2 linked regions of the Ovis aries genome follow. The protein of the gene in region 1 purifies or fractionates together with the protein of each later gene. This does not show direct contact. Links are inferred from orthologs where the notes say so. Each region holds a gene or a part of one and is shown on either strand. Other genes may lie near its edges.

Region 1 (3,747 bases):
GGAGCCTCCCTGTCCTCCCAGCTCTCTGCCTGCTCCCCTGCTCCCATCCAGAACCATGTCCCCTCAGGCTTCTCTCCGAGATCTACTCCCCACCGCCCGCTCCTCCATCCCTGCAGTGACTCAGGTTACCACCACCCCTTGCCCTGAGCACCGCAGGTTCACGCCCTCTCCTGTTTCTCCTGTTTCCTCCCAATTCGTCCTCAAGCTACACGCAAACCTTTCTCAGCCCGCCTCCTCTCATCCACCCTCCTACCCACGCCCAGGAGCACACAAGCCCTGCTGATGCCTCGCGCAGCGCCCCATTCCTGATGGAGTGGGGACGAGGTACGTCTTTGAGCCAAGGGATGAAAAACTGTAAAGGTTATGGAAGGAGTCAGCACCGCAGACACAGACTCAAACTAAGGACTAAAAGCTGTCCACAGGACACGCCAGCAGGGCGGCGCTGTGCGCCCGTGCCCAGCAGGGCTTCAGCAGAGTGGCGGGAACAGAAATCAGATGCCAGCGGGCTGAGCAGCGGATGGACAGGACACCGACCTTCTTCCCCCCGCGACGTGGACGGCAAGGAGGTCTAACAGTGAGGAAGAGAACACAAGGCGGAGGGGCGGGTTTGGGCTTCTCGTTTTAAAGTTGGGAGAGGCCTGAGTGTGAGCAGATGACGAAGAGCAGGACCCAGGAGAGGAAGAAAGGAAGGGGACCCAGGAAAGACACCCATCACTGAGACGTCCCTGAGGCCAGAAGGTGGGGACTTGTGAGCAGGAACAGAGGGCTGCAGTTGGATCCCGAGGAGCCTTCGGGTGGGAAAGCCAAGGAGTTGGTGTTGGTCCCTCTACTTTCTCCTTAAACGGTATCTAAGGATTCCTCCACCTCTACAGGAAAGCTCTCTCCCATTCTCTGTTAGACACAATATAAAACCATGTACACCATGCACATGTGAGTGTGTGTGTGTGGATTTTATGTATTTATATGGTGTTTTACATAGCCTTCTCTGGTGGCTCAGCGGTAAAGAATCTGCCTGCAATGCGAAAGTCCTGGGTTCGATCCCTAGGTGGGGAAGATCCCCTGGAGAAGAGAATGGCTACCTACTTCAGTATTCTTGCCTGGAGAATCCAATGGACAGAGGAGCCTGGTGAGCTGTAGTCGATGGGGTCTCAAAAAGAGCTGGACACGACTGAGTGACTTTCACTCATGTTTTATACATACACACACATATATATGAGTGATGTGTTATATTTAATACTGGACACCAGGAGTTATACTTGGTGTCTTCGGCTAATCCTGGGATTCTATTTCACTCCGCTCCTTTTCCCCTCTTCCTTTCTCCCCCTCTTTATTGATATAAAGCCTCTAACAGAAAAAGGGTTCCACCATCATCTCCGGTACCTGGTTGTAACTGTTCCCAGTTGGGAGTTCTGCAGGGTGGGGCTCGGAAACCTCACATAGGTTTTAGATGGAGAAGAATTGCTGTTTTCCGTCCCTCTTACCTTCCGCTCAACAGAAGGTCAAGCCTGGCACAGCTGTTACATATTCCTTTAAGAAGCTGCCCGAGTCACTCTCCTGGGTGACTGTAAGCACTGGCAAAGAGGTCAGTGCTTTTCATCAGGGAAATAAAACAAGGGTTCTCTGCGGGGTCAGCCAATCGGTTTTATCAGTGGCTCATCGGAAAAGCAACAGCTTAAAAGGACACACACTGTAAGAAAGGGAGAGGAAAGGGGTACAGGAGAAAGCTGCGGACGATGAGATGAAAGTTCAGGTTAGTCCCCTGTCACTTTAATCAGCCTGCCACCTAAGGGGAGATGTGCTTGATTCCAAAGAGGGGAGGAGGCGAACGTCCAGAGATGGGCGCTCATCAGCTGCTCTCAGGGGAGCGGCGGCGGGCTGACTCCAGCTGGAGCGGGGGCAGTGTAAACACCGCTCCAGCGCTTGGCAGCACACTTCTGCATCGGGCCATTAAATTCTGGAATTCGCTCTATTAAAATCAAATCATTAGCCGAGAAGAATTAACAGGCAACGATTTTCATGCAAAGCAGACACAAACCGAACACCAACAGCGATCCATATGGGTGACCCTTCTCCATTCACCATTTCAGACGGTGCATAAGGCCGACCCACGACTGTTTCAGCCCTTGGTTGCTCGCTGGCAGCCCTGTCTATACAATGTCGAGCATTGTCTGAGCGCTGGAACAATGTAAGCTTTTCGCTGTTTATCTGAAAGTCCCTGGATCACCATCCCAAGAAACCTGGCACTGTGACAAAGCTGACTTGTGACATGTCTCAGCCCTTTAAGCAAATTGCTTATTAATTAACGCAGGACCGAAGTTTCTGTTCGGGTCCTAATTAAGCTACGTACCTCCAGAAGTGTCCCTCCCTGCTCTGCGCTCTCTGAAACTGGGCAGAATTTTTCTGACATGCAGTTTTCCATGACACACGGATGGTGGAGGGTTTTAACAGGTGGTAAAGACTGTGACCAAAATACTGGCTGGGGAAAAAAAAAAAAAAACCAGTTCAGGCCAAAGCGTCACCAGGTCTATTAACAGCGGAGAAACAGGGCAGTGAGGAGGGCGGAGGGCACCTCCGTGGGTATTCCAATGTGAGGCACCCCTCGCCCGCCCGGGGAGCAGGCTGTATTCACAGGGAGAAGAAAACCTCTTAGGACGTGGCCACTACTTTAGAGGACCTCATACATAAGACACAGGAGAAAAATTCCAGTAAAAACAAAAACAGACAAAATTAAGCTAGTCTGTTTGGAATGGCGCACATAGGTAATTAAAAGTATCAAGTAAAGCCAGTTGCAGCTGTGATGACCTCTTGAGGTCGGGAGAAACTGTGCCTGGGAGAGAGCTTGGAGGAAGCGACTGACTGTTTCTTCTCCTGGTGATCATGACAAGGTTGGTTATATTTTTAATTATAAACAACACACGTGTTTTATGCACTTTCAGGTGTATATATGTTTCATAATGAAAAGTGTTAAGAGACGGAGAAATGCAGAGACAGAGAGCAATACAGAGGGGCACAGAGACAGCCAGCCAGACACACATGCAGAAAGATCAACCCAGAGGCCTAACACGCTCCTCAGCAGAGCAGCAACATTCCATACATGCTTATGAGAAATGGATGCTGGGTGACAAGGCACAGCACTGAGTCTTCTCGACTCACTCACTAAATATACTTGTTTGTTATGTTTACAGACGTCTTTGCAAACAGATGGGGGTGAAATGTTAAGAGTTCGGAAAGATCATATAAATAGCCACAAATTAAAGACAACTTTAAGAAGAGATTTTCTATTTTATTTAGCGTAAATAAACATTCTTTCAACGGGTAGTGATTCACATGGTTAGGATTAAAACATATCCTGTACACAATACCCTGAAACTAAAACAATCTACAGAATTCTAGGAAAGAAAGAAAGAAGGAAAAGAAAAAAAAAAAGACAGGATCAGAAAGCAAACTGATGGAAACAACCCCTTAAAACTTAGGAGAACATGTAACATTCAGGAAGGCAGAGAGGAAGAGAGCAAAGCAGAAAATGAAATTTTCAAACTCTGCTTTTAAAATAAAGTGGGTGAAGTTTTTTTGGGGGGGGTGGAGGAGGATGATATATGAGTTTATTAAAAAATAAAAGGGGGGGCTATTTTGTGAGATAAAAGTGCCCTTGCTGAACAAGACTGCAGCTCAGCTCCAGTGAGAGCTCAGTCTATACACAGAGACCACACAGTATAAACTGTCACGGAATAAACATTCAGATACGCA
Region 2 (3,647 bases), on another chromosome or scaffold:
TCTGGACTTTCCAGCTCTAAGTAGGTGACTGTCCATTAGGCTGCTGAGACCAGGCCCTAAAGAGAAGGGAACACTCGAAGCCAGCTCTGGCCCCAACATCTACATGGACTCCCTAGACCCAGGACACAAAACGATGGACGCAGTTTGTGCATCTGTCCCAGGGCCCAAGGCTACTCATACACCAGTGTTTGTCCGAAGGTTCAGTCCTGTGCGGGCACAGAGGTCACGGGCTCCCTTTATCCTGACAGCTCCGGGAACACGGGTGGGGAGGTGGGAGGGCAAAGGCCATGACAGTGACCAGGGGTGGGCAGGAAAGCCTCCCCAGACCCAAACCACACAAAGACGGTAGACAATTCTCAGAGACTCAGGGACCCCTCGCACCCAGGCCCCAGCACCCAGGAGGGAGATACGACTTGGCCCGGGGTCTAGCAGCTGTCCAGAAGGAAGCTGGAGGGCTGGTCCTCCTGCCCTGTCCAGAGCTGCCAGCAGACTGCCCCTTCAGGCTGTTCATCTAGGCAATGCCTCTCTTTCAAGAAGCAGCCCCTCTCAATTTCCGCCTCTTCCCTGAACCTTCCAAGCCCCACCCCCTCCCACCTCTGAATTCCAGTTGCTCTGAGGACCACCCCACCCCCACTTAAGAGTCTCCCAAGCTGACTCCTCAGACTGCAAGAGTCAGTGCTATTAATAATAATGCATACTCACAGCACGCGCTCGTGTGCTTGGCACCACGCTAGGCACTCTACATATACGAGGTAGGTACTATTGTTATACCCATTGTACAGATGGGGAAACTGAGGCACAGTGAAATTAGGTAACTTCCCCAAGGCCACACAGTCCAAAGCTGAGCACCAGGATTCCAATCCTAGCCACTGACTCTGGAGCCCTGGCTCCTAACCACACAACACCTCCTCAACACCATCTTATTCACTTCATATCCCCACACATGTCCCTGAGATCAGCACACAAAACTCCTGCACGTGACTCTTAGTCTCCTTGGGTTCCAGGCTCCGGGAAGTGTGGGTCCCTATTAGGCAAGATGATAGCAAACAGCCACTAGATGGCAGCAAAGAGCCGGTTCCCAGTATCCCAAGGGCCAGGAGGGGTAAGAGGACGGTAACTTTTTCTCTCTTTAGTGCACCTTGCGTCAGGCACTATACAGACATGTCCTCCTCACTAAGGCCGTCCCCCTCTACAGGCAGGAAAGGACACACGCTGAGACAGGGCAGGCAGCGGGGAGCCCTAGGACTGAGGCCAGTTGCCAGGAGGAACAGACCAGGGAAATTCCCTCAGCTGAGGGGTCCCCCCAGGCCCAGGGTGGGCTCCACTCCCCTCTCCTCCATCCCCAGGGTGCATAGAACCTTCCGTCCGGGGAGGGGGTGGTCAGCGCGGCTGCCTCGAGGTGGTCACCACCCAGCAGGCTTCTTGGCTGGGAGGCGTTTGCTGTGAGATGGCAAGGCATACCAACTGCATGGTCTCAAAGACCACCAGAACAGCGCGGACCTCAGACCAACGTTCCTGGCCTTCACCACCGAAGAGGACACCGAGGAACCCCAGAGCCCCCACCCACACTCAGAAGCTGGCCCCAGCACTCCTACCCTCTCTGTCTTGGGCCCCCCCTGACCTGGAACCCACCCCCCAGACAGCTGGCAGGGCCAGAGAGTTCACGCCCACTGGAGCTAAAGAGCTCTGATTGCCCCTGTCTAACCTCCACACCTGAAACCCACCCCCGAGCTGGGCCGGCCTCCCCGTCGGCTGTTCAGAGGGAGCGGCAGCAGAGGCGGTGGGGAAAGTGAGGCAGACACATCACTCCCGGTGGCCGAGGTGCCCGCACAGGACACACAGGTGGGGGACCCGTGCCTGTCCCCAGGCCTCCCACTGTGGCCGGAGCCGGGGGCAAGGCCTCCAGGGCAGCTCGGGGACATGCCATCTTGAGCGTCGGCAGCTGGCAACCGTCCTGGCCGAGTCCACGGAGCCCTGGCTTCACAGCCACGCCCGGGGTGGCATCCGGCCCCTTTTCCCTCAGCCCTCCCGGGGCTCGCGCAGCCAGACGGGGCCTCTGAAGACGCACAGAGCTGGGGTTTATTGGGCTTGGGCAATTGCAGGTTCAGGCAGAATTTGCTCCTGGGTAGAAGAGTCACCACCTCAACTCTCGGTGCTTCGGGGGCTGCCCCATGGGGCCCCTCCCCTCGTCCCTGCACACGTGATGTCACCCCCTCCCTGTCCCTGGTCTCTACTCCTTCACCAGCCGGTAGATGTGGTGCTGAGCCCCGTGCTCGCTCGCTGACACCTCGAAGACGTACGCGACGCACAGCAGGGTCTCCTGGGTGTCTCTGTTGGTGACCACCTGTGGGGTGTGGGAGACAGTGTGCTGTCCGCTCCGCCCACCACCCACCCCCCCACACACACACACCTACCTTCCCACACCTGCACACAGCACACACCTGTCCCCCCACACCTGCACACACCACACACCTGTCGCCACACACCTGCACACACCACACACCTGTCACCCCACACCTGCACACACCACACACCTGTCCCTACACACACATCTGCCTTCCCACACCTGCACATACCACACACCTGTCCCCACACACACACCTGCCTTCCCACACCTGCACACACCACACACCTGTCCCCCCACACACACCCGTGCCTTCCCACATTGGCACACACGCACACACCTGTCCCCCCACACCTGCATATACCACCCACCTTCCCCCCACACCTGCCTTCACACCTGCACACACACACACATCGCACACCTGTCCCCACACACACACACCTGCCTTCCCACACCTGCACACACACACATCTGTTTCCCCACACTTGTCTTCACACCTGTCCCCCCCAGACACCTGCCTTTCCACCTGCTCCCACACACACACCTGTTCCCCCACACCTGCACACACCACCCACCTTCCCCTCACACCTGCCTTCACACCTGCACACTCCACCCACCTCCCCCCCACACCTGACTTCACACCAGCACACACCACCCACCTTCCCCCCACACCTGCCTTCCCACACCTGCACACTCACCTGTCCCCCCCACACACATCTGCCTTCCCACATCTGCACACATGCACGCCTGTCCCCCACACACACACCTGCCTTCCCACATCTGCACACACGCACGCCTGTCCCCCCACACCTGCAGGATGGTGAAGTTCTCCAGCACACTGTTCATCATGTGCTTCTCGGGCAGGTGCCTCAGCTTGTGGATGAAGTTGACCATGTACTCGCAGAGCGGGGAGCGGTGGATGCGGTAGGAGTAGTGGCCGTTCTCGTAGCGCGCGCACTCGGTCTGCAGGGCCGGGGACGCGCGGCTTAGGAGGCCGCCGCCCACCGCCAGCCCGGCGGTTCCCAGACACCACCCGCAGGTGGGAGAGGTCTGGGGTTAAACACTGTGGGGGACTCAGTGCCAGGGTGTTGGCCCCCCAAGACCTGATGTACAGCCGGTGAGAACCACCAGGATGGGGGTGCCTGGCCTCCCACCACTCCCCGGCTCGTGCTGGGCGTGAGGCAGGCTGTCAGTGGTAAGGACGAGGTGAGGGTGAGACTGCCCTAATTCAGACAAATCTAGGGGAAGAGGCGAGAAGCCCAAGCTGGGGGCGGTGTGTGTGTGCGCGTGAGGGGCCAGAGCC

Evidence for each region. The genes of interacting proteins can lie anywhere in the genome.
Region 2: the proteins of VGLL4 (region 1) and TEAD4 purify together in Homo sapiens (co-immunoprecipitation; 5 studies listed by BioGRID and IntAct, counting the BioPlex papers as one, with this or other methods). This does not show direct contact. The link is inferred for Ovis aries from reciprocal best matches to the Homo sapiens genes VGLL4 and TEAD4.

What each region holds. Positions count from the first base shown.
Region 1 is NC_056072.1:55,592,592-55,596,338, forward strand, and holds the start of VGLL4 (transcription cofactor vestigial-like protein 4), read right to left. Parts: upstream 2,388-3,747; 5' UTR 1-2,387. UniProt on the Homo sapiens protein: May act as a specific coactivator for the mammalian TEFs.
Region 2 is NC_056056.1:212,613,687-212,617,333, forward strand, and holds part of TEAD4 (transcriptional enhancer factor TEF-3), read right to left. Parts: intron 3,308-3,647; coding exon 3,155-3,307; intron 2,345-3,154; coding exon 2,231-2,344; 3' UTR 1-2,230. UniProt on the Homo sapiens protein: Transcription factor which plays a key role in the Hippo signaling pathway, a pathway involved in organ size control and tumor suppression by restricting proliferation and promoting apoptosis.